Linked DNA regions of Oreochromis niloticus. The protein of the gene in region 1 interacts with the protein of each later gene in a biochemical or structural test. Links are inferred from orthologs where the notes say so. Each region holds a gene or a part of one and is shown on either strand. Other genes may lie near its edges.

Evidence for each region.
Region 2: the proteins of ocrl (region 1) and rab31 form a complex in vitro, tested with the Homo sapiens proteins (2 studies listed by BioGRID and IntAct, with this or other methods). The link is inferred for Oreochromis niloticus from reciprocal best matches to the Homo sapiens genes OCRL and RAB31.

What each region holds. Positions count from the first base shown.
Region 1 is NC_031966.2:18,617,134-18,633,484, reverse strand, and holds the start of ocrl (inositol polyphosphate 5-phosphatase OCRL), read right to left. Parts: upstream 6,525-16,351; 5' UTR 6,143-6,524; coding exon 6,101-6,142; intron 5,585-6,100; coding exon 5,505-5,584; intron 1,851-5,504; coding exon 1,759-1,850; intron 1,404-1,758; coding exon 1,365-1,403; intron 1,027-1,364; coding exon 913-1,026; intron 1-912. Other genes in the region: si:ch73-335m24.2 (protein eva-1 homolog C), read right to left, coding at 9,061-9,446, 10,642-10,722, 10,809-10,880, 10,992-11,135, 11,381-11,533, 13,092-13,215, 13,339-13,544, 15,777-15,873. UniProt on the Homo sapiens protein: Catalyzes the hydrolysis of the 5-position phosphate of phosphatidylinositol 4,5-bisphosphate (PtdIns(4,5)P2) and phosphatidylinositol-3,4,5-bisphosphate (PtdIns(3,4,5)P3), with the greatest catalytic activity towards PtdIns(4,5)P2.
Region 2 is NC_031982.2:24,682,463-24,698,366, forward strand, and holds the start of rab31 (ras-related protein Rab-31), read right to left. Parts: upstream 5,954-15,904; 5' UTR 5,851-5,953; coding exon 5,815-5,850; exon of another isoform or gene 5,753-5,814; intron 5,579-5,752; exon of another isoform or gene 3,552-5,578; intron 3,542-3,551; coding exon 3,462-3,541; intron 2,372-3,461; coding exon 2,290-2,371; intron 607-2,289; coding exon 535-606; intron 220-534; coding exon 113-219; intron 1-112. Other genes in the region: ralbp1 (ralA-binding protein 1), read right to left, coding at 9,556-9,858, 10,036-10,156, 11,034-11,155, 11,236-11,346, 11,631-11,762, 12,566-12,727, 13,231-13,580, 13,668-14,099. UniProt on the Homo sapiens protein: The small GTPases Rab are key regulators of intracellular membrane trafficking, from the formation of transport vesicles to their fusion with membranes.

The DNA.
Region 1 (16,351 bases):
TGTGTTCTACAAAAACCTGTCAGCTACAAATGCATGACATCTATAATCTATGTGGAACAGATATAATCACGAACCTCAGAAACAAGTAAGAGGGGAAAAAAACAAATACAAAGATTTGTTTTATAGGCAGCTGACTGGTTACTTATACGTAAAAAGACTTCACAGCTTCAAATATAATACACTTTGACTGTTTATGATTTTAAATAAAACAAACACACACATCCTGCAGTGCTTTACACGTCTCCACCCTGGACTTACGTGTACAGATTAGGTCATGTAACTGAATACAATTATCCCAGTGTTCTTAGCCAAAAGGCTGCCAGGAGTTCAACAACGGCATGTGAATTAGACTTCTATACATCCAGCTTCCTAGTAGCTCTTCTCTCCAGTTAAGATATCCAGATAAAATGAAGATAAACTACGGATGGGTGTGGATAAGATTACTTTATTACTTCTTTCAGCACTCACAGTGAGGTGCAGACCAAAGCAAAAGCAATGCATGATCACCATTTAATATAATCCCCTCATGCTCCCAACATAACAAAGGCTTATAGCATTTAAGACCTTTATACATTATAAGTATATCTGAACACCAATTTCTGATAACAGAAAGTGTGGGAAATTTGGCCACAGCTTATAAGGCTAAAACGTAAATCTAAGAGTGAAATCACAATAAACAAACAAAGTTTTTTTGTGCTTTATGGCTACATTCAAAGAAGTGGGCTTGCACCCATGGAGGTGGATCTGATTTCAAAAACTGAGGCCAAGGAGTCTTTCCACCTGTATGTCAGCAGCAAGAATACACAGGAAACGAGCAAGAGCTGTAATCCACCCTTTGTAATAAATGTTAGATGAGTCATTAAATAATTAACTATCCCACTGCTTTAGATGAGTGAAACAGTCGAGTCTTACCTGCTAGTTGAGCACTCTTCACCTGGGTAAGGAAAGTCTGAGTCCGATCATCATCCTGCAGTTCCAACAGCAGCTCTGGGGCTTTTTCTCCTTTGATTCGTACTTTAACGGAAGCTTGAACAGGAAACAGAAAGCACACATCCTTAGACTTTGAAACTCCTTAGTAATGCAAACTGTTCTGCAAACAAAACAAATTGATTTAGAAGTGAACCAATTAAGCATTCTTTCAGAAAACCCTGGCAACTCATGACCTGAGTATACTACTAAATAAAGACATTAAGCTGCAGGCATGCTCTAACAATGCAGTAAAGCTAGACAGGTGTTGTGTTGTAATTAATGTCATGATTCACCTCTGAAAGCCTGGCTTCCAACACCTTTTTATAAGATCTTTTACACATGATATTGACTCAAAACTCATATATCAGAAGAGAAAAAGAAAAAAAACTACTTACGATCTACTGACAAATCAATAAGAAGAGCTTCTTCAGCTTCTGAAAGGAAAAAAGGAGAGCTTAAATAGTGCCATTCAAATAGTCTGCAGAGGGAAACTTAGTAGTCCTGTTACAAGTATTTCTACAGGTTCTTACTGTTGGCCACTGCTTAACATACTGCGACACTGTGTGGGAAGTCTTTACATTTTCTCATTAGGTGCAATGGAAAAGCTCCTTTCACTTTTACTTTTGGTGCTGTGACATTGACTAAACATTAACTTCACATGGAATAGAGGTCAAAGAAAGTGAGGTGTGACGGAGAGAGCTTACAGAAAAATACACAAACGTATCCTGACTGATTATACTCAGGATTTAAAACAAGAGTGAAATAGAGAATAACAAAAGGGTCACATACCTCGTACAATTTCAAACTTAGCATTGATGGGTATCGATAGCTGAGCCACTGGACGAGACACAACAGCATCAGGGTTGGCTAAAACACCCAGTCTGGATCAAAACAGTACAAACTCCCACTTAAAATCAGCTCTGTGGTGCTTAATATCACATAAGCTTAGAAGTAAATCAAACTAAAACACAAGAAACATACAGACAACCTGCAGCAATATAACCCTCTTATAACAGCCATTCTTTTGCAATTAGCAGCAAGTTTCATGCAACATTCAGTATGGAAATATTAAACTCAACATCTGAGATGCAATGCTGGTAGATTAGTGGTGGACTATAACTATCAAGTGATTAAAACAAACACATGCACACATGCAAAACGTATGTCTATCTGCAGTTAAAGATTAACAAACAAGCATTGTATGTCCTTCGGGTTTTGCTTGCGAAAGTCCACTGGAGCCGCACAAGCTTTGCGTCAATAAACATTCAGCTTAATCAGCTTCAAGTCTGTGATGTGGGTTGATGTAGGCAGGCTCATTTTTTCCTTTCTAACAATTGCTGACTAACAATCGGGGCCAACACTGCGCTCAGGAAACTGCCCACGCTTCCCCTCCACTTCACACTAAGTCAAATTGCATATAGTGAGAGGAAAATGATTCAGCCATGCGAGAAAAAAACGTGTCAGAGGAACTCGGAGTTGACCAGAATCAACGTCTGATATTGAAAATTACACAATCAACAACTGAGAAAATCGAAAACCCCTCAGGGGAATATAAAAAAATACTACAATGACCATACAACACAGAACAACGAATAAAATATGTGGCGGCCCTTATGATGCTCACATTTGTCAAACGTATTTATCAGACTTTCTAGTTTCCATTTCTATATAACCAATTTTGGATGTCTAAAATCTTTAAAAACAACCTTAATCACTCTGGGTGTAGCACCTCTACTATAGATGAGACTATAGAAAACACTAAACTGTGCAAATACACGATTCCTTAGTATTATAAATGAAAACAGTGAACTGGCTAAGACAGAGGTCCTCACCAAATAGTTTCCTCAATAAAATCTAAAAAAAATTAAGTACGGCTTTCTTTAATGCCAAGAAAATGCCTAAAAATTAATATTGATTAATATCTATATCAGCAAATATTTTAAGCATTTATTATTAGATGCGACTGGAAATCTGATATATGCAAACTTTATGTCCTGGTGACCATTTAAATTCAAGTTTCTTGAGCCAATAATTTTAAAAACCCGAATACGTGGTGTCTGGGGGGGACTTTGATGAAAGATTTAAGAGATTAAAGCTGACACAGAATCTGCTTATCTAGTCATTTCTCCCTGTAAGGACTACTTCTTAGTTTAGTGTGTTTTTTAATAGATTTAGTTGAGCATGTAGCTTGTGTGTTCATGTGAGTCTCATTACAGCCTAGGAAGCAAAGGAATTCTGGATAATCTGCAGTGAGCTGCCTGCTGGTGCAAAGAAAAGCTTAACAACCCAAGCCACAGTGACAATTTAAAATAACCCCCACTGTCACAACATAACCCGAACAAATGCTAGGGGGTGTAAAAAGTACACAAACTAAGTGTTACGCACAAGTTGTTGAGTAAACTCTAACTAGGAAGTGGTGTGGTATGTGTGGAGCAAGTTTACATCAGCTGAAGGGACTGGAACACTCAACCATATCACCACAGCCCCACAGGCAGCATCGTCCTTATAAGTGTCCTTCTGAACTCAGAGGAAGAGCTCCATAAAGTCACTAAAAACGCAGCATTCAGTCTTTTAGCTGGGCTGCATGACATCTGCCACTAAAAATTTCTGACTATGTTATGTTGCATTTGTTTCAGATTCTCTGGCAGTTTTCATTTTGCTTTTTTTTTTTTAGATTTAGCCTAGGAAACTATAAAATCTACATAGAACAAAATCCAGGAAATCTGGATAGATATTATACAGTGAAAACATAGAAACAGAAACATACTGAGGCACTCTCTCAGGTAAAATCAAATCATGAACCATGAGAAAGCCTGAGATAGGAATTCCCCTACTTTTAAGTAAGTAAGTCTTATCTTATCTTTTACCTGAAGACAGATAGTAATTTTTTATGATTACCTTTACCACATAAAATCTATCAATTATTCCTGGATTATTTTTCTTTGTACTTCTTCCTGCCCCACTGAAGAGCACTTCTCAGATCATTTGTCATAGCCATGCATCATTTTGCTTTTCTGATTGCAAGATCTATTGGTTAGATAACACCCTAAAAAGATAATCCAACTACACTCAACAGGCCCTTTGCTAGGAGCACCTTGCAAATATTTGGCTAGACCCAGTTTTGCCTTCAGAATGGCATTAATTCTTTATATATAGACTCAAAAAGATGCTGGAAAAATTTTGCTCCATATTGGCATGGTAAATGGTAAAATGGTAAATGGCCTGTATTTGTATAGCGCTTTACTAGTCCCTAAGGACCCCAAAGCGCTTTACACACCCATTCACACACTGGTGATGGCAAGCTACATTGTAGCCACAGCCACCCTGGGGCGCACTGACAGAGGCGAGGCTGCCGAACACTGGCGCCACCGGGCCCTCTTACCACCACCAGTAGGCAACGGGTGAAGTGTCTTGCCCAAGGACACAACGACCGAGACTGTCCAAGCTGGGGCTCGAACCGCCAACCTTCCGATTACCTTCCGATTACAAGGCGAACTCCCAACTCTTGAGCCAGTATCACACAGCTACTGCAGACATGGCAGCTTCACATCCATGATGCAACCCTCCTGTTCCAACAAATACCAGAGGTGCTCTATTGGATTGAGACCTGCCATTTGACTACCAGGAAACTCACGGACATGTTAAATAAACCAGTTTGAGATGATCTGAGTTTTGTGACATGGTCTGCTATCCTGCCTGAAACAGCCATTAGAAGATGGATACACTGTGTTCATAATGGGTGGCCATGGTCAGCAACAATATGCAGGAAGGCTGTGGTGTGTAAATGATGTTCAGCTCTCTGTGTTTAGAGATCCTCTTCTGCATACCTTAGTTGTAATGAGTGGATATCTGACTATGAGCTAAAAGCAGTCTGACCAGTCAGACTTCTGACAAGGCACTTTTGCCCACAGAACTACAGCTCACTGGATATTTTCTCTTTTTCAGGCCACACATTGTAAACACTAAAGATGACTGTGCTGGAAAATCCCAGTAGATTAGCAGTTTCTAAAATACTCAGACCAGCCCATCAGGCACCAACAACCACACTACAATAAAAGTCACATAAATAACCTCTTTTTCGTGTTCTGATACTCAGTTTGAACTTCAGCAGGGCTTCTTGACCATATTTACATGCCTTACTGCACTGAGTTACTGCCATCTTATTAGTACCTAACCAAGTGGCCAGTTAAACTATATAATTATCTATCATCCTGCCAAGTACTCAGTGTGACGCTATCATGGCACACACCTTTCTGACCTAACAGAGTGTATTTTGAACCATACCGATATCACAGCAATTGTGGGTCAGAGATAGGAGGAAATATAAAAGACAAACCCAGAGTAGCGCAGACACCTCAGATATGCTATAAACCACAGCTTTACGAGTTCTCACAAACTAGGTGCTGCAGTAAATGCCTAAGAGTGTTCAAATTGTTTCAACAACTCATCACCACTACTTATGATTCTCAATAGGTTTATCTACTGCTTGACAAAAATCACATTGTTTTTCAGTCATTTGGTTCATTGATACTTACATAAACTCTCCACCGCGTTCAATTAGTGACAGGAGTCTGGGCTCCTTCTGGCCAGACCTCACCTCCAGGCATTTTACAGTGTGAGCAGCACAATCAAGGAATTATTGTGACTGAGAATGAGAAACTAGTGACTGTCACCCCAGGCTTTGTAAACTGAGATTACACTACAGATACTCTGAAGGGTTAGAACAAGCCATGCCAGTTAAAAGGTGGGCAACTTAAGGTAATAAAAGAAAAGAGCAGGAGGTGGGACAAAGCACTGCAGATGCTGGGTTTGCTGGTGCCAGTGCAGGTAATACTTTTAGCTTAAGGGTGTAAAGGTGTAAGGATGGCTAACGTTATTCTGTACAAGTGATTTTAATTAGCGTTAATTGCATGACACTGGTCATATATCTGTGCGGTTAGCAATGAACTGGATTAAAAGTGAGCTGTAGCTACTTTATAACATGATTATTTAAGTGCACGGTTACTAAATATCTCCATATTACTGAATTACTAACGTTGCCTAATGGGCTTCACTAAAAGCTAACGTTAGCTAACAAGCTAAAACCCCCAAAAAAAACAAGCCCAAAAATACCAGAACTCAGAAAGGATATTGCCAAGCATTCCTCGCCGCATATCCCCAAAGAGGAATCCATTCTTACCGAGAGGAAATAAATATCAGTTTATCATTTGGGTTTATATCACTTCGGTGCGGACGTCAGGGCAGGGAAAGTTAAACCTCCACCCGGCGCTGCGGCGGCCTCCTTCCGGGAAGCTTGGCCGCTAATGCTAAACGCCAGCTGATGATGTTGTTGTTGTTGTTGCTGCTGCTGCTGCTGCTGTTCCCGGATAGTATTAAAAATATCACAGTTAGAAACTTTAAAAAGAAAGAAGAAAACCCCGGCTCTTCTCGTGTCCCCGTGAATGCCAGAGAGCAGGTTGCACAGGCTACATAGCTTTAGCTGGCAGTTTTATGATTTAGCCGCATATGCTACAGCACAGAGTTTGATATGTGGTGGACTCCCTCCTCCTGCCGCTCCTCTCCCTGCTTAAGGACTCATCATCCTGGTTTTTTGCGGCAGTTGGCTTCGAGTATGAGCTTAATAACGCCATCTTCTGCATCGGAGTGCAATACTAAGTGAGTAAGCCTCCCAGCCCTGACAAATATAAAGAAACCCCTGCGACATCGTGTGGTAAAACAATATTATCTGCATATAATTTACTTTCCAGTTTCACACATCCTCTTTGGGGGATTAAAAATGTCCGAAAGGTGTTTTGTCCCACATTAATAGGCATGAGGTGTAACTAATACAATCGCTTTTACATTTTTTTTTTTAATATTACCGCCACCAAGGAGGTTATGTGTTTTGGGGGGGTTGGCAGTGTTTTTACGCGTTTCCTTCTTTCTGTAAACACGATAGTTTTTTAAAAATTAAATTAATTCTTATCAAATTTATTGGAGTGTATTGTGTGGTCATCTAAACAATCCATTCAAATTTGACCTCCAAACTCTAAGTTAAATAGACTGATCTGCACCTCAAAGTAATATTGCTATAGAACTATTTAAAACTATATTTCTTAATGCCATTGGTTTAATTGACAACATATAGAAATATAGGGATTTTAAATATTGGACCTCATTTTCCAGTTCAAATAAGATAAAACTTATACTGTCTTTTATCTTTAAAAATTTACATAAAATTGTGTGTTGGTACTGGCAAAATTGGAAAGGATAGAAGTATATGGTGATTATAAATATCACATTACAGTTTGCATTCAAAAATCAGTCACATTTGCCCTCTGATCAGTTTTACATTTCACAACAACTGAAGGTGTGTTATATCTTTAAATAAAGTATTTTTTAAAGAGAAAGAAATGAGCTGCCTAGTTAGAATATACTACAGTATGTAGTATTATATAATAAGCTCAAGTCAAGGTTTCATCCGCTTTGACTTGTGACCCCTTCAAATTAAGCAGTCTTCATCACACGCTATGTCATGTGATAGCTGTGATAGAGCAGTTTCACTAACAGTCATTTCATTCATCTCAGACTGTGATTTTAATGATTATAATGACTTCAGCTGAACTGTCCTCACAGTTTAAACACTGATTCTTTCCTCAGTGGATGTATTTCTGAGAGCAATTGTGCAAAGACTTTGAGTATGTTTTTCCATTTCCTGGATCCAGACTTTTAAATCCCTCTACCCACTAATCAATATCTGATATCAGACTAATTTTTTCATCATAAAAACTTTTTAAAGTTCTCCAGGCTACTTGTACAATTCATGTACAATTGCATTCATGACTTCATAAATTGTGACCATCAACAACACTGAGACATTTCTCATGATGTCTCAAAAAACATCCCTTTAAAGATGGTCAGGTACAAGAGCTGGAATAAAAATAAGTGAAAAGAAAAACTTTGAAAGGCCTTCAGAAAGCCTGGAGAACAACTGCTTAGACCAAAAAAATTATAAGAACATCTAGCTCCTTGGAAGCAAAATATAAAGAAATAAAGGGTGGGTCAGGACTTTTGCACAGTGTTGTAGTTCTATCAGTTAATCAGATATAATCACTTTAATTAATTCAAAGAGGGACACAATTTAACAAAGAATCAAAATATAATTGTTAGTAGAAATTTGAAAATTATTCAATTTATATAATTATTTTTGATGATTTGGTTTTGCACTGTTCTACATTTAATTCTCCATCTTTCAGCAATAATATGAAATGTTTCCCCTGCAAAAGAGCAGCTTTATTTTTGTACGTTTTAATGAAACATTAAAAATGGAATTAACTCACCCAATGATTTATTAGTCACACACTGCACTGAAAATACTGTTTTTCCATAATGTAACTGCAAAAATGCATTGAAATTATTCAAATTAAATCAGTGGCACCGTCCACTGTTATTCCATAAAACACAGCTGCATTTGAAATTCATTGAAACAACAAACATGTGATATTAACCTTTATGATTGTAATCAACCACCATTAGGTTTTTATGCATTTTAGTAGTGTCATCATGCATTGTGACAGATTAGGAGGTTCAGTTACATTTAAAGAGAAGCTATCATCCTTTCCCCTATTTTCTGTCACATATACCTCATTACTGTGATTTGTGTTCAGATTAAACTGGTTTTAAATAATGAGGCTGTTCTAAACACTCAAATTCAGACTTTATTTTCTACTCTTGGCTTTGCCTAATGTCAAAAATTGGGGACTTCCCTAGTTCATCTCTGGCACTTAGGACCCAACCATCTAATGCTTAAGCTTTGAGTTTGTGAGGGGCACCCAAACAGAAGAAAGTTGGCTTGGAGGAAGAGGAGTTCATATGGCTCGTTTCAGGCTGTGAATGAACTAAGGACCCAGCTCAAGATAAATAAGGATTATCTTGAACTTTGAGTCATGCAAAGCTCCTCTAGAAGAGTAGAGGAATGAAAGTTTGGACCTGGAAATGAGCATAATAGGTCCATAAGTTATAGTAAAATGCATAATTTATAGTAAAAGCACCATCTCAGCATGATTTCAGTTAGCAACTATTGTTCTAAAGCAGTATACTGATACTTTACTCTCAGTTGTTGTAAGTTTTTATCTTGTGAATAGCGTAAGGGCTGGAGTCTCTGTGTGGCCAAATGTCTCCATTCGGCAGATCTCTAGATTGTTCCTCCTCCCACTCAACCATCTCTACTGTTAAAGTGGATGGACTGAAGATGTCAGTTGTCCGGTAGGATTGTGTTAGGCGGCGGAAAGGTGATGTGTCAGAGACATCATCTTCGCAGAGGTCTTCCATGAGCTCCTTGCGTTGTCTGCGAGATGCTTTCAGCTCATCATTCAGGTCAGAAACCAGATCTTTAACGTCTTTCACAAGTGTGGAGCGAACGCCAAACAGGCAGAGCAGGAACACGAGACCAGCGCAGATGCCTGAGACAAAGTAGAGAGCGACTCGTTCTGGGAGACCTGGAAGAGACATGTGTGAGGAAATTAAAAATTTGCCGGCATAAGCCACAAGTGTCCACTCAGCTCATCTTTCTCAAATTGCTTTAGAAAACACTATTAATGCAAGGTGTGACCTTTCAAAGAAACCACTAAATTCATTTCATGTGAGTAATGTATCAAAATCGATTTGCAAGTGCTCCTATTTCAGTTCAAATATCCAAATAATTTGTATCTATATTTTTTTATATTCATATTAATAATGTTCGAAACTGATTTAGCTGAAAAATCTTCCTGGGCAGTGCAGTATTGTAAAAACAAAGACACAGTATTGGCTTTGGATTAGGATCATTCCTGGAAAAACCATATATGATTATTTATGTTAGAGTACATAATGGCTAATATTTGGATTTTCCACCAGCATGTTAATGTATGATCCAAGGGGAAAAAAACATAACTGTTTTGTCTATGTCCAAGTTGAATATAACATGTCATAATAAACTGAAAGGACATAAATAGACTGAAATTAGGAAAAAATATTTTTTAAAGATAATATGCTACTAATGATATGATTTGGAAAATGGAAATAATACAGAAATATGTACGCAAATTTTAGATTACTGCAGAAAAGACAAAACCTATCAGCACAGACAAGTGGCTGGCACACTGATAAGCAGAGGCTGGCTGGAGCCTTCCTGTGTGGAATTTGCATGTCCTTGCTGTGCCTGTGTGGATTCTCTCCAGCTTCCTCCAGCAGTACAAACACATGCATGTCAGGTTAAGTGGTGAGTGAAAATTGGCTGTGGATGTGAGGTAGATGAATTGCATAAAGTGTGCAGAGTAAAAAGTAAATGTGGATTGTGGTTTAAAGTGGCCAGTAAAGAGTACATAAGTGCTATATGAATGTCAGTCCAGTATCATACCTCTCTATCTGTAACAGCTGAGATATATGTTAGCCCCTGCAACACTAGGCTAGATAAGCAATTAAGAAAATAGACAGATGGTATATAAAGGCTTCCAGTTACTCTAAATCAAATTAAAAACACTACATTTCATTTAATTCAACACCTCTTCTTATTTTTCCATGTCAGTTTGGAGCTCAGTATCTCGACTGTGTCCACCAACGTGCTTGAACACCCACACTTCACTTCGACTACAGCACTCATGAGCGATATATATGTGGCTGTAGCCTGACATCCACAGGCATCAGTACACATACCCAGTATTTTGTCAAAGATCTCCAGAGAGTTGGTTAAGAACACATTTTGAGGCCTGTAGGTGGGGCCAGTGTACCATCCACCTGCAGGCGAGAGGGTTCTGGGCTCAATAGCCAGTCAAAGTCTGCTGCATGCAATGAAACCTGTGAACGTTCGTTTTCACACTCACCGTGTGTGTAATCTGAGATCATGAAAGGATCTGTTGGACCTTGACCCACATCTTCTAGGAGATATCTGGGGACTAAAGAGGAAATGAAACATGTCACAATATGCAGCTGTATGCAAATACAGAAAATATACTATGCATCTACATCCAAGCCAAAAAAAGAGTAGGTGAAGATTTGTCACTTACCACAAGTGAAGGACACCCGCAGGTGTTTCCTGGTGCCGGGGAAGCACGGGTCCCCAAAGGTTTGAGTATCGGCTATTAGTGAACAGTTTGCTCTGCTGTGACACCTGCGTGACACTTTCCTCAGGGCCGCAGGCGACAAACACTCTGAAATAATTTAATATAAATGAAACCAATGATTGTAATGAAGAAGACAACAGTAACATTTTATTGTTAAAAAAGCTGTTTCTCTAAAACCTGAGCACCTATAAATTAAGGAATATGAATAAATAATTCATATTTATATGAATTATTAAATACAGTACAGTAGTAATTCTCCATCATGTCTATACAGGACTTTAGCTCCACTTTTTTGCCAGTAGATGGCACTTGAGCCCCCTGCTGTTGCAGACCCATGTCAGCCTTTGATCCAGGTTCCTGAGGACAGTGAGGACTGCCGTGCAGCAGGTGTCCAAATGAGGCAGAGTAGATCGCGATGACAGTCTCATTTTTACACATCAGCCTCAAACGCTCATTTTCGCACACCAGTCGTGTGCGGTGGTGCTCTGAAAAACAGATGAAATGACATAAAGAGCACTTTGAAGAGCATCTAAAGGTTGACAAGAACTTTCTGTAGCTGTTTTAAGAAAATCTGATGTCTGAAAGCATTCATTGTTATTATTTCAAAAGTTTATAACCTTGTTTTACAGCTGTTTAGAGAGCTGACTCAAGCTACCCCGCATTTCTTTATATTTTGCTTTCAAGCCATGTTTTCTTTTTTTTTCAAAGTAGTCTAGAGCAGTTCTCCAGGTTCTCTGAAGGTCTTTAGACACTGGCTGCTTTTTCGCTCATTTTCTAAGCAGTCCTTATACCCACCCTTTTTGAGAGGATTGCTTTTGTTTGTTTGTTTTTGTCTTTTAAGCTACTTAACACTGATCTATGAGCTATCAACAACAACATGTCTTAAGAAATAGGGAAAAATCCAGCAAAGACGTGACCCCAGCCTGACCCAGTAATAAGGAAGGGAAACACGTTAAAAAGGCTGTTACTATATTTTAGACATTTATTATTTATTTATTATTCCTCCTGTTCAAGCTGATTATTGGTAATCCAGTCATAACCTATTATAGAAGAGTTAATTTAATGCTACAATATATGTCAAAGTGCATATGAAGTTGACCATAAGAGTCACTAGTGGACTGATTGTGTGGCTTTGTTTAAAAGCTACAATCACAATTTTAGAAGACTCCCACTTAATTTTATGTAATTCAGACTATATGCACTTCAGTTTGGAATGCAAATGTTTCAATGTACAGTTTTGTGTTTCATGTGTGACTGCCCATATTTTTTGAAAACATCCCCAAAAAATGTAAGTTCCTTTTTATGTTTTGCTTAACGGGCCTGAAACCAGAGGCTGACTGGGGAAGAATATTACAGAAACTATAAATGATACTAAGTTCAGTTCCTCTTTTTTAAGTTACCGTTATATTTATTAAGTTATACATTTCTGTGAGCAAGCAAAAGACATAAATAAGATATTTTAAACAAATAATAATTTAACCTCCTAGGACCTGCCGTCCACATATGTGGACATCACATTTTGCGTTATTTAGACCAAAATACTCAATTTTGCTCTGCATGGGCCTGGTATCCAATTATGAGGACATTATACTGCTACTGTTCTATCAAATTTTAAAACGAATATCCTCATTTGTGGCTCTCATTTTTCTTAAAAACAAAAATAAGGTAAAAAAAAAAAAAGTCTGGGAATTCTTTGTTTTTACATTCATTGGACCCCAATATGCCCAAATATCCAAGAGAAATTGAAAATGCATGTCGTGGAAGAGTTCGGGTCTTAGGGGGTTAAAGAAGATTACTTAATTATAGAAAAAATGAAAGAGTTTGTTCATTTATTTACCAGCTTTACATGCTAATAGATTTTTTTTAATTAAGAGCTTTATTGTGCAGCTCTTTTTTTCAGGCCAAGGTCCCTCTTATTGATAGTTTTCTGCACAACTTTAAATTATGTGATGGACTCTTTCTTTGTCAGTTAGGTAACATAAATTTAAAAGTCATGTGTTCACTAGTGGTGAAGTGACTGGACTGTCCAGCTCAGTAGTGCACCTGGTCTGCACTTGTAGGAGACTAGGAGGTACTTGGTGGTGAGGGGACAGGGATCCTGGCCAAACACTGGACTTAAGACGGGAATGTGGCACGACCGCCGATCCTGACACTCTGACAGCACTTTCTACAAGCACAGGGAAATACATGTGGACCACTGTTATCTTCAACAGGAGTCAACCATAAGAGCATTTGATTGAGGCAGATCATACAGTGAGTTCACAGTTTATGTCAGTGTTACTATGTATACCTCGATAGCAACTGAGGAAGTGCACTCTGTGTCCTCCTCCACAGTTGTGTTTGTGCTTGCAGGAGGACATAAATGCTGACTGGGAACACGGCGTCCATAGAAGGCTGATAGGATGGCCACAGACGTCCTGGAGGGACACTTGATGATGAGAATTTCCCCTTCACAAGCATGAGCCGTGTGGTTTTTCAGAATGCTGTGAAGATACACTGAAAGAGAAAAAGAGCTGATGATGTCTATTTTATCATTTCAAACACATCTTACACCTAATTTATAGTCATGTGCATAAGTCTTGAGCCCCCTTTATTTCTTTATATTTTACTAGAAAAATGGGAATTAAGTGCAATTATTTATTGAAACAGCTGGAGACATAGATGGAAATACAGTATATAAAGCAAAAGGAGAGTTTACACAAATATAACAAGCCTGAACTCTCTTAGGCAGACTTTCTTGTAATATATTTAAATCGTCTTCAGGAACAGTTTTCCAGGCTTCTTGAAGGAAATCATTCCACTTTCAGTTCAGTTCCTGTATAGCGTCATATACGCCAGCCTTTTCTTCCTGTTTCCCTTTCTTAAGAATTATTTCTTGTCTGCCACCCTTCCATTATGACCATTTCTGATGAGGCATCAGTGAACATAGATGGATCAGCTAAAGGGCCACATGCATCGCTCAGCTCCTGCGTCAGATCTTTGCTGAATCATTCCCTGTTTCTTAAGGAAATGTCTTTCAGACACATTGTGTCTGCTGTAGATAGTTTTTAAGACCTGCCACTTCTTCTTTTGTCCTCTGCTTTTCCAGTTTTCTCATTTTTTAAGGGCACACTCCATACTGTCTATCACACTAAAATCCTATTTTAATCCCATCAAACCGTATAATCGTTTAGATTCAACAAAAAAAAATGGGAATAGTTCATGTGCTTTTGCGACATGCGGCTCAAAGTACCTCAAGATACAATTTGAAATTGTTTTCTTGCTAAGTTCTCTGTTATGTGTAGACACAACACTGGTTCATCCCTTGAGTTGGGTGAAATTTAAGCTTGAATAATTCATAAGTCAATGTTAAGTAACTTCACAAGCAAAAAACATTTCTCAGAAAGCCTGGATAAAAGAGAAAGAAATAAAGGGTCTTCTTTCCGTTGTTAACCAACTAATAAAGACTGGATGACTCAGTTACCTTTACTCATGCACAATTGAGGACCCTTTCATTGTCAACAAGTCAACAGTTTGACTTATTTAGAGCTTTTTTTAGCCCCTACAACAGCTCAGTCCCCTGTCGACAGGGTGGTGTCCGACTCACTGGGTGTAGCTCGCCAAGACAATTTTTGGACTATGACCACACATATAAACATCATCAGCAACAGCACATAGACACTGAAGTGAAGTCTCCCCTCCCATGTGTGTTTCCTGTACTGCACTGTGTTAGTGTGTACGTGCAGTATATCTTGCCTTGAGAAGATTTATAATGCAAATTTTTATTATGTATTAAGACTTAATTTACGGCTAGATAAGTATTATTAGTTATGGTTACATCTCTAGGACATGAATATAAGTCAATGTTTCGTCCTGTGACGTGATGGAAAGCGTGTGTGTGTGTGTGTGTGTGTGTTCTTGTCTAGCTATCTTTGTGAGGACCGAAATCTGCATTCTACTATACTTGTGAGAACCAGCAGTCACTTGTGAGGACACACAACCCAGTCCTCACATTTTTGAAGGCATTTAAAGCCATTTTTGAGGCTCAAAACATGGTTTTAGTGTCAGGGTTACAATTAGGTTATGGTTAGGTTTAGGGTAAGGGTTAGGGTTAGGCATTCATTTTTAATGGTTAGGGTTAGGGTAAGGGGCTAGGGAAACCAATATGTCAATGAGGGTCCTCACTAAGATAGCTAAACGGGGTTGTGTGTGTGTGTGTGTGTGTGTGTGTGTGTGTGTGTGTGTGTGAGGCTTTTTAAAGCTTTAGGGAACAAACGAGACACAGTACCAGGCGCTCACTCACAATGAGCTATTATTAGACACACACACACACAAACATAAACAAAAGATCTCTGCTGTGATCAGATATAGAGATACACATGCAAACAAAACGGTGTCTGAGACAAAAACTACCTTTGGCTGTGTCTGAACATACAGTACCATTGTTTCCATAATGTCAGTAGTGACACAGTCCAAATAGGAAAACAGCTCAGATGATAAACACAGGTCAGCTGTAGTTTATTTATTGCTATGGGAGTGTCTGGTTGTATTAAGTGGATATCCAAGTTCAGGATCTGTTCTGCAGCCTCTTCACCCTGATTCTGGTCTATCAGCAAGATTATGACCAGCTGCTTATGAAGCAGGATGTGGAAATGTTAGGAAATGTCGTTGTGAAGCTTCTTTATGCAGCTGAAAAGCAACACATCAGCATTTTGAGTCTGCTATTGATTTCAAAACCAAGAGACTTACGTGAGAAATCAGGAGCCGAGCGTGCAGTGTGCATCTTCAGAGCCACTAGGAGAGGCAGGAAACAAAAAGAGCGGCAGAAACTCCATGGCGCTGTCATTGTGAATATCCTGCAACAGACCCTGCAACAGGGTTTGTGTACTAATAGGCTGTTTGTGCGATTGACTGCCTGTGAGAGAGCAGTCAGTAGGTCAATGATGCCATTGTGTTTACAAGAAACAGCTGGCCCTGCTGAGCATTTATGTGGTTCTATCGCGAATCAGTCAAGTTTACATCCATGTCTAACCAGACTTGACCTTTGACCTGCTGCATATGAAATGTTATCACTTTATCCTGTTATCCTACAAGACATTTGTGCAAAACATTTTGTCATCATTTACGCATGAATTCTTGAGTTAGGGCCAAGAATATGTATTTGTGTGGTCCTGCTGACGTTTGACTTTGTTTGACTTTGACTTAGTTCATCCCTGAGATCAACTGACTGTTTGTGCCAAATTTTGCTTTCCTGAGATATCAAGTTCATGCGAATGGGACTGACAGACAAGGTATAAAAGGTTAAAGTAGCCAAATGACCTGTC
Region 2 (15,904 bases), on another chromosome or scaffold:
AGGTAAATTATTTCCATTGTCAGATTTGTTTGTTAACTCAGTCTAACAGTGTCTGTAGAAACTTTTCTTTTTAACATATTTGTAACAAAAGAGATGAAAAAAAGAAGCCCACCTGATGTCTCCTAAATCATTCTTATTCCCTGCTATAGCTACAACAATGTCTTCTGGACCGTGTTCCTTCAGCTCCTTCACCCATTTCTTCAGCGTCTGGAACGAATCCTGGACAACAAGAAGACATTGGGGTCAATCCTGGGATAGATTGTTTATGAGAATATGCCCAGCAGTTTTTTTCCAACTCCTGTCATATATTCATTGCTTTTTTTTTTTTCCAGACGAGTTTCCATTAACAAACCAGGAAAGAATGACATTTGTAGGTCATGAAACACAGCATCCCAGAGTGATGGAAAAGTAGCAAAATTCTTCACTTACAAATGTTCAGGACAGCTGTTACTGATGTTTTTCATTTTTACGAAGGAGCTAACAGCCATGACAGTTTAACCAGTTTCGCAATAGTAAACTTCCTGTTACACTTACCAGTTTAGTAATGTCATAGACAATGACAGCAGCAGCCGATCCTCTGTAGTACATAGGGGCTAACGAGTGAAACTAAAAAAAGACGACACATTTATATTAGTTAGCATGATTGATTTCATTTTTTTTGTATATCACACATAAATATGATCCAAAGTGCTCAGTCTATGATTAATAAGGGGGAAAAAAAAGCTTATAAAATACAGGCAGGGTACTATGCCCATACATTCTTACATGATGAGTTTATGGAAACAATTACTTCCTCAAGTCCCCAGGCCTTTTTAACTTTTAGCAGTTACCTTCACTTCGACTTGACAAACTGTGGTAGCTTGTAAAGAAATGCTGAATGTAAAAATCACCTCACTAAATGTCAGCCTACTGCAGATAAACGATGAGTGAACGCGCCGGCTAAAAATGTGCCAACACGTGCCAAACTTTGAGATCATTTATGAACAGTGAATCCAAAAAGGAATGTCGATTTAAGAATAAATATCACACTCAGGTTGTATTTTTTTTACATTTCCTATACCAATGTATGGCATCTCAAAATTGTTTCTATTTTGTACTGAAGTTAGTGTTGGTTTCTCTTATCAGTCAAAACCGGCACCATTCCCTTCAGCAACTATCAATGTGTATTATCATCAGTACAACTATATATCCATTGCCAGTGATAAGAGAAGATACACTTCATCTCAAAGTTGCAGCAGTTTAGTTAACTCAACAATCATACAAAAAAAGTCAATTGGTGGAAATCGTATGTATTTTAATAAAGTAGACAATGTGTGGCCAATTAAATAAGAAATTTAAAAACATTATCAGTGCCTTCAAATAACATATTCCAGTGGTTCTCAAACTGTGGTCATCACTTAAAGACCAGATATCCCACCTGCTGTGAATGTTTTAATGCAGTACATTTGTTATTATTATCACTTGTCACATCCTGTTTATGACAGTTAAAATAAATAACATTTATATAAGAAATAAAATTGTCTCATGTAAACTATATGGTATTAAATAGGCGTATACTATTTTACTTTAATGTCAGTCATAAGGGTGGTATTCTAAGAGCCATATATTTTATGAGGTGGTACTCATTTTGAAAAGTTTGAGAAACACTGACATATTCAGTTACATTTGGTATCTAAATGGTATCCCAAAAATGTCAGGTAGGGGAAGTGTGTGTTTAAACAAGCAGACTAAAAAGACTGCTTAAAATGGTGTTTGAATGATAATAAATGTAGAATAAAATATTATGGCATGTTTTTTAAATTATATTAATTACTCAGACGTCACAGGTTTAATCAGCAAGCCCACAGTCATGATGATAACACTACACTACAGTGACATCAATATTTCAAGAGTGTCCACAGTTGTATTGTTCACAGATGTTTACCATCAGCATCACTGATCACACAAGATCAGTCAGTCAAATGTATTAGGAGACACTCACAGCAGAAGTCCCAGCATAATTTTTTCACACATAAGCAGAAAATGCTCGCATTAGTTTTTTCCATGCAGTAAGCAGGTTTGGCAAGCTTCAGCTATACCCCATCTCCCTCTCTTAGCCATCAAATTAATCACCGTGATGTCTCATGACCTTTGAACTCTTGTGTCAAGCATCCTGTTTCATACCCTATAAATATCTACCTATCACGAGTACCAGCTTTCTGATGCAAAGTTTAATGGAAAATCAACATCACATGTGTTAACTTAAAGCTAACAGCGAGTCCATGAGGAGTTTCTGTTGCGTACACTCACCCGTTCCTGACCAGCTGTATCCCAGATCAGAAATTTGTGTAGCTCATTTCCACATGGCACTGTCTTGGTCAGGAATGACGCTCTGCGGATGATTTAAAGCATTTCACAACAGCTATTGTTTTTTAGGTCACTCTTTAAAAGCAAAGGGAAAAAAATCTGTGCATGTCAGCAGGAAAGTAAGAACACTGAAAACAAGTATGTTTGGTACAGCATGTTTGTTGCTATAGAGGCATGTAACAAAAAAAGGAAAAACATAGTCACAACAGTGGGTTTAAAGACTGGTATAGATGGCAAAAGCTGAAGTTACAGGTAATAATCAGTTTATTTTAGTGTTTATTGCACCAAGTACTAAAAAAAAAACTATCATTTTTATAAAATTCTATAATCTTTTTGTCTAAAAGTGTTACTCCAAAGTGGGTTTTTTCATGTCAGATGCAATGACCTAGTAAAATCAAGGTTTTTTTTCTCAGGCTTACAGAAGTTGTAATTTGTGCATTAGAGCTTGCAAACACTTAACTAAAATTTGTACTTTAAAAATGTAATTACATCACATATTTGTAATGAAATGAAAATGCCTTATGAGAATTATTGGAGTTGTGGGGCTGAAACAGGATGACTCCCAGGTGGGTTTGTCTTTATTTCAGTTGCTAAAGTTTGTTTAGAATAAGCTATGTGTTACCTGCTGAGGTTTTCCTTACAGGAAGGAGACCTTTTGGCTGAGCTGTGCATGTTCTACATTGTCTAGGAGGTTATGACTATCACCAATCAGCCCAATTTTAGTGTGGACTAAAGAAATACTAAATAGTAATAAAACGGCTGTTAAGTTTTAACAGTGTGGTAATAGTGGCTTGTGCAATTCCTTTAAAATCTATGTATTCAGTTAAGATAAAAGACCCAAGGGAAGGAAGGTACATTCAGTTTTATCTCTTGAGTAATCAGTTCTTCTATCATTAGGTTTAACTTCTGTAGTTTATAGACAGTTCATAGGATTATCAATCTACCCATTAGTACAAATGATGTGGCTTGAGCTTGCGCATAGTTTCATTCAGCCAGATTACTGATTAACTGGCTGAATCTCCCTGTACATTTCTGAACATCTTTACTTCAGCTTTGTTTCCAAACACAATTGATTAGTTTCCTGCTGCTGAAGCCTTCTCCTGGTTAACACTCACCCTATGGTTGGACTTATGTTGTGATCGAAATGATCCTGGACAAATCGGCAAACAATGCTGGATTTCCCAACTCCAGTGTCCTGCAAACAGAATCAGTCACAGGACATGCACACACAGAGGGCGGTCACTATTGAACCTAGTGGATTATGCAACCGTAGCAAATACAAAAGTATGCAACAGCAGTATTTAAGTCATTAAAATGATAACGTGAAATTATCCAGTAATACACGGTGTATGATTCTGTGTAACACGAACTTTCACTTTAGATATCTTAAATATATTTTGATGGTAAAACTTTTGTACTATAATCACTTTTACTTATATAAAGGGTCTTCACAATGACTACTTCACCTGCATTCTTACTAACGGCCAGCAGGGGGCAACTCTTGTGGTTGCAAAAGGTTCCAGTTGTAGTCAGCATCTTTCATGCTAACTCCAGGTGAGCGCAACAATCTCCTAGCCACCAAAGCAATAACAAAGAGGCTTTTGTGCACAGCATCCTCTTTGCGACTGATTTCACCTACTGTAGCAACAGCCAAGCGACCTCTGGGAACTACTCACCAACCACTCTGGGAATACACATTTTTCCTTGCAAACAGTGGCTATATCATATCCAACATCATCCGAGATAATACTGGTATACATTTTTTTACTGATATCACACACTCACTTCCTATTTACAGAAAGTATTGAATAAAATATTGACTCCATTTAGTAAGTTGACTTTTTCAGAATATACTAATTGCTCAACACAATCACAAGGCTTTAGCCAATGAGCATGTGGTTCACAGAGAGAGCCACTTCTTATTAGTGTTGCGCAATACTGCAGATTTTAAGTAAATACAGGGCCAGTATCGCTGTTACCAATACCAATACTTTTAACTTATAACATCAACTTATGTAGAGAAGAGTGGTGTGTCATGACTTATGAGATGAATCACTATCAATTTGCAAATTCTGAATACATTTTATTAACCACAGTAATTAGATAACACAACAAAACACACATTTCAGCTTTTTGTGTATCTTGAAACTGTGTTTTTTGGAGACCTGGAACGTAATGCCTTTTTGCCCCACTAGTACCTACTGGGCTCAGCATGGCTCAACTCAATTCGGTTTTTAGGTGGTACTCAGTTGTAACTGAAAACAGCTGAAACTGAGTAGAGTTGAGTCAAATTGGTACTAGTGGAAAAGAGGCACAAGTGTGCCTGTCTCAAAAAGACTTCTGTTGTTTAAATGGGTTATAGAGAATAAATAAAATAGACATAAAAGTCTGTTTTATCCTTTCCCCCCAAAAATCATTTAATACAGTTCAATGGACTACATAATGAATTTAGATCATAGAAACTAAGAATCAATTCTATCGCACTAGTATCGATACCAAAACCGGTGCTGGTATCGATACTACCAATATCTGGATAGACACCCCCCCCACCACCTCTCAATTGTCACCTCTGGTTCCAAAAGACCAACATGTCAACAGTAATAATGCTCAACTCATTGTAACTACATTAATCTTTGAGTCTGTCTAATTTAAACTCTCATGCAGTGCCACTTTTCATGTAACACATCTGATGTAGAAAATAGGACCCCCCACCCACCCACCGACTTCCTAGTCTCCAAATGTGGCACCCCATTTTTTTAATTGTATAAACACCCCTGTATGGTTTTATGTGACTTTAAATCTGCATAAAATCTGCTCCTCCCGCTTGTTATAAGCATGCAGAGGTGTAACAAAAGATGGGTAAGGTCAGCATATGGTTGGTTAGGCTGACTCAAAAAAATATTTTAGTGAGGATGTCAGGGCCCTGAGGAGGTATGCGGGGGCCTAAAAACCTTATGAGGCTCTGAAAAGTTCCCAGCTCCCGACTTCAACATCGTCGAAAAAGCGGCAGTTTGCGGTCCAAAGCGCTCTCGCCGTCCCTGTCACCGTTTATAAAGACAGACTGACGTGTTTCGCTAACGCAGCAAGAAATCTAACGGCTCGCTGGCTCCAATGATGACGTAATGGCTGATAAACTGTCAGAGCCGTTATAAAGTAAAGATTTAGCTTAATCTATTAAGAACTACAAAAAACATGCGAGAGGACATACTCAAAATGACTGCCGGCCGATGAGGTTGGTTTTAAGCCAACTACTAGCTACCAATATTAGTTAAATACCCAACTTATTTCATGAAGACGACAAAGAAGAGTTCTTTTAAATAAAATACCGGAACTGACAAAGTACCGACTCTACCATTAAGTTGTAAACGAGCAGCTGTTAACATCAACATGTTGTCGGCTTTTGCAGTTTCGCAGCAGACTAAAGGAATTTGCCCCAAAACGGATCAACAAAAAACATCAACCACTTACCCCTAAAAGGCAAACCTTGAGCTCCCTTATAGCCATGGTAAGTTTTGGAAAGTTTTTAAATCATCATTTGTCAGTGTACACTCAATGTATTTGTTTCTTCATGCTTGAAACTCTATTATTTTCCCCTCTTCTTGGATAAAATAGAAACCCAGCCCCTGATACAGACAGACATCTCCACTAAGCGGCTGACAAGGCGCATAAAATAAATTTACAACATCCGGGAGTGACTTTCAAAATAAAGGTATCTTACAGCCGTTTTGGCACAAATGATGCGAAAAGGTTGCAACAAACAACTTCGTTTGCAATTTTAACTCTGCCTGTCAGTTACATGTTTATATTTTGAAATAAGAGATTAAAGATTTTAGACATATTTTTACCCTGAAAAACAGTGTTCTTTAGTTAAGAATAGATAAAAGTGCATACAATGGTCTTTAGTTCAATGAAAGTATAACAGGACTGTGAAATGTCAGTCTGCTCTTAACATATTTTTGCAATTAACTAATTTAACCAAAGACAATGAAGACTGTGACAATGATGTTTTTATTTCAAAAATAAAAGACTAAAGTAGGATCAGCATCACACAGCCGGCTGTGCCCTGGCAGCCAAAAATGAGTGGGCTCCAGCCCAGTAATGGCTACCAGGTTTGGGTGGGTTTTTGGTATGTGGACTTGGGCCAGTTTGGACTGCGAATTGGCAGAATAAATGCACGCACACTGTATTAGGACTGAAAAACTGACCAAGGTTGGTAGTCTGACTTTTGACAAGATAAAGACCTGGTTCACTTTCAGCATCCAAACTACTACCATACTTGGGCCAAGTTATTTCTTATAAACGAACTTGATTTTGGCCATTAAGGTGCCAAACCTGGCCAATTTTACAAAATCACGAAACATTTAAGAAAGCTGGGGAGGGCACCAAGGAAAACTGACAGTAACCACAGAGCCACAAGCTATGCAGGTTTCTGTGGTATATGATAGAAATGACCACAAATAAAAGAAAATATAACAATTAAAACTGAATAAGCAACTTATAAGGCAATTCTCAGTCATTTACTTGTGATTTTATTGTTTTTCATAGAGGAATGACTGTGACACAGTAATTGTAAATGTTTCAAGAAATGTGTGGTTAAAAAAGAAAACGAACACCAGGTAAGATAACAGATAACTCATGAAGATTGACTATATCTGGCATTTAGATAGAATACTGTAGGTTTCCTTCACATGCTGAATACCAAACCAGTACCATGCAAACTGGGGCTACAATTTACATGCGCTCACCAGTAATTGATGATTAATGCAAAAACGTTCTGTTCTGGTGGTTTTTGATTTCTGCTGCAACATATGGATAGCAGGGTCAGTATCTGCCATAAACAGCATAAAAGCATGGATCCATCCCACCTTCTATCAACAATTTAAGCTGCTGCTGCTGCTGTTGTAATAATGAGGGGAATATTTTCTTGGCACACGCTGGGCGAAGTGAGAATCTTTGTAACCACAACCTAACCGAGTATTGTTGCTGACATGTTCATATCCTTATAGACATCCCTTTTTTTGTTCACTGTACTCAAATGTCCCCAAAAATCTCAAAAGTCACCAGATCTCTATTCCATAGAGCACCTTTCAGATGTGGTGGAACAGGAGACTCAGCCAACCAATCAACAGTAATTGTGTGATGCTGTCATTATCTTTATGGTTACACTTTTCCAGCACCTTGTTCAATCTGTGCCATGAAGATATAAGAATGAAGCCAAATCTAAAGGAACAAAAATGTTACAACCTTGTAATAACAAGTTGTACCTAATAAAATGCCCAGTGAAGGTATGTATAGCTCTATGGTTAGTATTAATTGTATATCTATAAAGCCAACATTCCCTGAAATGCAGTAGACTATGTAAATCTACTCTTTTATATTACAACCATTGCTTTCCTCCAAGAGAAAATGGTCATCATGTTATGTGAATTCAAGTCGAGCTTTAATTTTGAAAAGACAGTTCCTAACATCCGTTGTTCTCTTAGTTGTTTTAGTCCTACTTGATAAACCTAGTTTCCAAATCGGAAACCAGTTAAAGCCTTAACCAAAAAAAAACATATTTAAAAAAAAAGCTGGGTGGTTCCACTATCTCTTGAGTAATTTGTTTTCAGAGTCAAAGTCCACCTTTCTATTCTCTCAGAGATGCTCAGGTTTGTATTTAGGCAGATACTGTGTAATGGAAAAATATGGAATACATGTCCAGCCAGACATAGTTGAGTGAAAAGGTAAACTTCAGGAAAAGACACAGTGAGATAATTATTTTAGACTGACACTTTATTCTTCACAGCATTTCTGTCTGTAACAATCAGCTACAAAAGCTCAGAACAATATGAAAATAACCTCACGAGAAGCTTCTGAGCCTGTTCTAGCAGTTTCATGGAATCAGGAACTCCAGATGAGATTGCATGGATTTGCCTGTGACCAAAGCAGGGCAGTCACAGTAGCGTAACTCCATACAGGTTATTAATGGTAAAAAAAGAAAAGAAAACAGCAACAAGAAGACAAAACACGAAGAGCTGAAAATACAGTATGTTTGCAATTTTACAATAATATACAGAAAACGTAAGTCAGGACACATCTCTGCCTTAAATAGTATCGAACAATGACGTTACCTTGCAGCAGACACGGATCAGCTGTGAAATGAAAGGATTGAAGAAAACCTCCACACATGAAGATACAAAACAAAGCGAGCCTCCTGCGTGTCTCCACCCATATAGGAGGCAAAAAATAAATCATCAGCACAGACTTGTTACATCCTCATTAAACTGAACAAATATGATCTCCCGCTCTTCCTCATTAGTGCAGCGCAGGCAAAGGTAACTGAGACAATGACTGCACTACGGAGCAAAGTGTGGCCTCCAGCTGTTTGTCTGCATTTTGCAGCGATGAATACACATTTGTTATTTGGCTGTTCGTGTTTTCATCCACTGGTTAGTTGCGAGGTGCAACACTTCTCTTTATGAATCTGCTGTTCAAAAAAAGAAAAAGAACAAGACCCTCTACAATATATTTATTTGTATATTCATATATTACTAAAAAGCTGCAACTTAAATTTAATGTACTTCTTGAATAGTCATCTGTTTACTTCAGAATACTACTTAAATATATAATATATAGATAGACCGATCATAAATTCTTCATCATTCAAAAAACTTTTGTTATCAGTGGTTCTCTGGGGCATCCTCAAGTTATGGCACAGTGGTCTCTATCCAAAAGAAAAAATCAAATTTGCATCAAGTTAAGGGACGAATCTGAGCGACAGGGACTGATGACATGTGGTCTAGTGATCGCTTCCTGACTCGCTCAACAGTGAGAAATAATCTGCAATCTACCCTCTCTTACTCTCATTGCCTTCATTTCCCCTTCCTGCCCCTTCCTTCCTCCTTCATACAGGCTTGGCACTGCATATTTGAAAACATGGTCCCTGCTAGTCTCTTACAGTGGTAGTCAGTTGTCCGCTACACCAGCTAAACCTAGCATTTGTTTGTTTTTTCAGGGTGGTTTGTTTTTGCATGAGGATGTGAAAAAGAAGGTTAGGACACCAAAGACGATATAAAAGGTTTTTCCTTGTCTGCCACTTGGTGGACACGGTAACTAATGAGCTCTGCAATGTGAAATCTCCTGCAGGATAGCGAGCAACGCTACAGGACAACTGACCCACGGTAGAGACGAACACCAGCACAGACGACCACCAAAAGCATCACAGAGGTCTCACATGTTGGTGTCTCTCTTGTCTTTGCTTGGTGAAGGCTTTGATGGATCCTTAGCCGCCTTTCCGTTGGTTGTGGCAGCAGCTGCATCGGCGGTAGGAGCCACGGCAGCAACGGAGCGCTTGGTTTGCTCCTCGCCGCGGGCCTCCGGGCTCGGCTGCGTGGGTGGAGCCTGCTCGGCTGGCGGCTGGACGGTCAGCTCCTGCTGTAGCTTGTGGCTCTGCAGGAGGCGAAGCTGAACGCGGAGCTCCAAGATGGCCTCCTGCTCCTCGTGGATGGCCTGGTTCAGGTGAGTGTTTTTGTTCTTCAAGGCAACAAAGTACACATTCAGAATTAGATCCTGTAAAACTCCAGCCAATACTTTCATTATTTTATTACCAGAAACAAAAGCGTGCTGAGCTTTTGGTATATGAATAACCACAGTTTTGTCAAACACTGCAAAACCACCGCAACAGGTAGTGGAGGCTGGATGCTTTCTCACCTCTAGTTCCTCGTTTTGCTTCTGCAGATCTTCTAGTATCATCTGCAGCTCTTCCTCATCCTCGCTTTCACTTTCGCTGTCTGATGAATACTCCTCTGTCTCACTGCGACCCTGCTGCCGACTGCGAAGGAACACAACGCTGGCTTACTGCTAGGATCTAATGTCGTGTTTTAGTGTTAAATTGGTTTCATGGTCCTGTAAACTTGTCCGACTGAGTACACTGTCTTAAATCAACTTAAAGCATGACTTAAAGGGACTGCCGAATGTTGACTGGTTCACAGGTGAGCTGGAATAGAGCAGGGAGGGATACTGGAGTTCACTGGGAATGGGAGAACCGCAGAGAAAAACTTCAAAGATCAAAATACAGAGTATTAAAAGCACAGGCAGTGGCTGCAGTGGACACTTTTCATTGCTTTTAACACTCGGTTTCACTTCAGCTCTTTGTGTGTTATCACTTTGCTTTCCTCTGTGACTGGCTGATGGACCGACAACAGCACAAGTAAGAGTGGCCCATAGACCCATGTGGCCATACACCTGTTGGGCCGCTTACTTGTATAATGCCTCTATCTGGCAACAGAGCTCACTCCAGGCAGACGGACCATCCCTGGACTGGAGTGGACAGCGAATGCACCATTTCTGCTCGACCATAAAACCAGAGGGAAAATATCACGTTTATCTCTCAAAAAGGCTCAAATGTCATCAGGGGTATTGCTGCTAATGAGGAGACATTCACAGGGGTTCAAACAATGCAATGGTACCAGTGTTGTCCTGAAAACAGCCCAATATGGTCCTTCACACACAGATCAAAGGACACAACAAGACATCCACTGAGGGATCTGAAATCAGCAGTCACACTGAAAATGATCTAAAGATCCACAAGAAAATGTACCCGACTGGGAGACTGACCACTTTTACATCAGGTATAGATTATAAATTTTACACTTCCAACACTGGAACTCTTTGTTCACACCTCATATTTAACCACTGTCCTCTTTTACCTCTGTATGTCTGCAATCTCTGCCCGCAGCCTCTCGATTTCCTCCTTCTCAGTAGCAATCTGTCTACGCAGCACCTGCTCAAGAGAGATCAGCTCCTCCTGCTCCGTCAGGATCTCATTCTCCTGATTATCGAGAGAACGAGAAGACATTTAAAGGTTTTCTTGGCAAGCTGCTGATCGATGTGTTTGTATGAATTACTCACCTGTGCTAAAAGGAGGTTGATGACTTCCTCTTCATTCTCAGTCATTTCCTCCTTAGAAACGTCTTCCTTTGACAGGCTTGCTATCTCCTGGGCTATTTTACTTTCACACTCCTAAAGCCCCACAGAGAGCAGACACATACAGCATAGTTGGTCAATTCATCTGCATTTGCCTTTTTGTTGTTACTGTGTAGGGCCACATTAGAGTTTATTAAGGACTCCCAGCTCAATTTAATACAGACTAAAGAATCAATCCTGCTGCTGTTTCCTACCTTAATGAAGGTTATAATTTTTATACATCTCAGAAGAGGTGGAAATTCAAACCCTCACTGGTATTACTGGGTGGATGAACAGCTATTGTATCCAGAGAAACATAAATACTGATATAGACAGATTACCTGACGTTTGGCCTCCCTCAGTTTCCGTTTCAGGGCGGTCAGGATTCTCTGAACCTCCCAGAGCCGCTCCTCTTTGGACAAGTCCTTCACCCCTGCCTGCAGGTCCCGGTGCAGGCAGTTCAGGAGGAACTCCTACACACAAATACCTTCATAAATATTGGCTGAAATTTACTTGATGACAACAATCAGCTCAAGACAAGTAGAGGAGCCAAACACATTTAATAAAGTAGTCAATATGAGAACAAAAAAGTCAAAGTATTAAGTAGCAAAATAAACCATATAATCTTTTTAAAAAGGGCGGTCTGAGATTCATGCATAACCACTTATGAATGACAGAATTAAAGTTAGTTGGATAGTTAACATGATTTGAGCGTTATAGGACAAAAAAAAATCTACAATAACTTTTCCGTATATTCTAAGTTAGGTGATCTAGGAGGGATTGAGATGTGTGCGCCTCCTCTGGGATGTTTTATTGTTTTGGAAATCCAGGCCACGAAGGAACATTTTGTAAGGTTAAAGAAACAGCTTCACCCGAGAGACTGGGGTTCAAATCGACTAAACCATCTGAAGCTGACGTGTTTTCTATTTTCTTTTATATACAGGTGACAGAAACTAACTAATATTCTGAATCCCACTGAGTCCTGGCACACTGAGAACAAACCCAAGATAAAGATGCGTACTGCTGACAAGACACTTTAATATAAATAGAAAAGGCCTGCTTTGCTGAATTAGAGCTGCATTACTATGTACTATGTTGTAACATTTTAAAATCTGCTTCAAGGGAAAATCATCATCGGCTTATATTAAAAAAATCATTTCCTTTTGCAGTAGATATTAAGATATGAAGCAAAAAAAGAAACTTTTTTTTTTTTAACAAACTCATTTGTTCAAACACTAAAATAGACAGTCATTAGTTGCCACAGGACCGAACCCACCTGCCGTCTGATCTCTTCTTTGATGCTCTCCTGGGTCTCAGGCAGAGCCGGCATCGTCGCCATGTTGGACCAGCGGAGTGGCCGCACCACTGGCTTCAAGACTACATCCCCAAACAGCTCCTTCACGTGGGTGAAGAAAATGTAAAGGACACGATTCCCAATCTGGAAAGGAGGCACACGGATCACCAGAGGGAAACGAGCACAAAGCTGAATTGTATCTGCACCAGTTCCTCCACAATACAAATTCCTGCATGTTTATTTAGCCTGATTAAACTGGCCCTGGACTCCGCTCATTAATTGGGAGAAGTGTTTATTTAACAGTGTTGTGGCGGCTGCTGCTGCTGGTTCAGAATAAGTGGAGCAGCAACAGAGATGTCCCCTATGGGAATAAATTAGCTTCACTAAACTGGGCCAGGGTTTCAGAGATGAACTGACTCTTTGATCCAATAAAAATTCACTGGTTTGTTGCTAGGGGGAGGGTTGGGGTTTTTTTGGGCTATATCTGAGCCTGAGCCAAAGCTCCACATTGTTATTTGATGTTTAGTTTGCCTGTTGCTGGAAAATTGATGTTCTCTGCACCAGCTCATGATCTTCTTGCATATTTCTTCCCTTTCCCATGTAACGGTGCATTTGCATTTTCACTGATTGATCTCCTTCCCGCTGACCTGTATGGTGGGGTTAAGTACGATGGAGATATTCTGAATATTCATCTTCGTCTCTGCCTCCCTGGCAATGACGTGGTCCATGTGCGTGACGAGCCAGGAGAGGAGCAGTCGGCTCTCCGGCGGAACTTCGGTCAGCAGCCTCTGGAACTCCGTCACCTTTTCGGCCTCAACCTGCCGACCACAAGCATCCTCGAACCGCTGGGCCAAGTCTCGACCAAGTATGTTTTCGGGCAGCTCGCGGAGGTACTGCTTCAGCAGGCTGGCAACCGTGTGAGGGTCATACTCCTCCAGGCATGGGCACTCCTCTCGGTCATACGCAGCTTTTAGTTCATCTACTTTGGACTTCATACCTGAAAGGAAAAAAGAGCCAATGTGAGTAATCAGAGATGTTTTAGTTTGTTTAAAAAAAAATATGGTAAAATCAAAATGTTTGATACCTGAAACCCGGTAGATGCCCTCACACTTCATCCCATAATTTTCAATGTAGTCCACACACTCTCTAAAGATTGCTGGTAGCTGGATGCCATCATACAGAGCTGTCCTCTTGATAGCTTCAGCCAGCGGGGCTCCAAAGATGGGCCTGAAGGTGGGGGTCTCCACTGGGACCGGTTCTGCCTCTGTGGTTGGTTTCTTCTTCTTCTTCTTCTCCTTCCACTGTTTCACCACATCTGCAGCTGTCAGGTCCTTTGACTTCTTATCCTTGGCTTTGTCCTCTTTAGGACCCTTCTCTTTCACCTTAAAATCCTTTTCTTTCTTCTTGGAGAAGCTCGGCTTCTTGAACACGTGGATTCCTTTGGAGCGCTTCATTTTGGACGGGCTCTCTGCTTCATCTGCCGAGCTGTCCTCCTGGAAGGCGGCGTATCCTTCCGCTGTGAAAGTAAATAAAGAGTAGAAGAGGCAGAAACCAGGTTAGATCTAAAGGGAGTAGCACCTCTATTTTCTAATCTCCGTCCTATAACCGAACTATGATAGCAGTGAAACAGAAACAGGAAGAGAGACGGGTGAGAGAGAGAAGATAGCAGAGGAGGGGGAGAACGAGGACTAGGAAAAGAGGTCAGCCACTGATTTAGCATAGCTCCCACTGCACCTTACAACGCTCCTCTCCAGAACAGCTCACTTTAAGCTTTTTTTAAAGTGATAGCGAGGGGCCCCTTGTCACTTTCAACCTCCTAAACTCTACGCTGGGTTTCCCCAAGAATGGGCTCTGCGTATCACACCGCTGCCTGAGACACACCTTCGCTGGGTTCAGTGGGTGTGTGCTGAATCTGTCCATCTCTTCCTCTCTCCCACCATATCCTGGTGTAGGAGCTAAATCCAGGCATGGAAAAGTCATGACACAAAGTGGACGACGGTGAAAAACATCCCCAGCAGAGGAACATTTCTCACCACTGCAGCCATCAGGATGGAAACGTGGGAGGAGCTCGCCTCATTAGTACTGATGTGATCTTTAGCTCCCTCGGTAGCTCCCAGTTGTTAAAATACAAGGTTTGAAATATTCTACATTTTTCTCCTTGTTGACGAATAACACAGCCATGTGCCGCCCTCCAAAACGTATATTAAAAAAAAAGTTGGAATGTTTTTGAAAATGTAATCTAATCATTGGCTCAATTAAACTAGATTATAGGGTTTGTAGTCATTTCTATTATGTAAAACCTGTGCTGCTGAGCCTGTGAGAACAACATCTGACAGCTTTTTATTACCAGACCTCATTTCCTGGTTGTTTGGAAATGGTTGCAAAGCTATAAAATCATGCTTATTTCATAAACCTGCCCAAGTCTGATTATAAATGTGTGTCCTGTTGTGTTCTACTGTTGTCAGTATTTTCTGTTTATCTCACTGTTTTAACCTCTTGGCCTCAATTCAATTTTATTTATATGTCACCAATCACCTCAAGGCACTTTATAATGTAAGGCAGACCCCGCCCCCACAATAATACAGAGAAATCAAGTGACCCCCTTTGAGCAAGAACTTGGCAACAGTGGGAAGAAAAAACTCCCTTTTAACAGGAAGAAACCTACAGCAGAACCAGGCTCAGGGAGGCTCATCTGCCAATACCGTTTGCAGGTGAGGAGAAGGAGACAGAACAAAAAAAACAAAACACTGCAGAATAGAGCAGGCGATAATAAGAACTAATGATTAAAGGCAAAGTGGTGTATAAACACAAAGTAAGTGAAAAAAAGGTCTCGTGAAAGTATTTTGAGAAATGGGTGTCGCAGTTTAGCACCCACTATAAAAGCACTTTTTTCTTTCAACTGAACAGTGTACTCTATTGGTTGCCATAATACTATTTTACAATTAGAATTAAGGTGCTACTACAGTTTATTACATGATAACTCAAGCAGAAACAAACATAGCGATAGTGGTGATAACACAATCTATACTAGAGAGTTGGATATACTCAGTAAACTCTGGCCACCCTGCTTGGCTACCGTTACATGGAAACACTAGGCCTTTTATGTAAACTCTGGACAACATCAGAGTTTACGTCTAATCAGAACTCGAAACTGTCTGAAGTTGCCTTTTCCCACATAGCACACAGCAGGAGGCGATAAGAGGGAAGTTCTCACTACTTTAGTTTAGATTAGGATGTCCTCAGGGTACACACTCACTCTCTTTGAAGTCAGCAAACAATTAAGATGACCTTTATTAGTCCCACAGGTGGGAAATTTGTTAA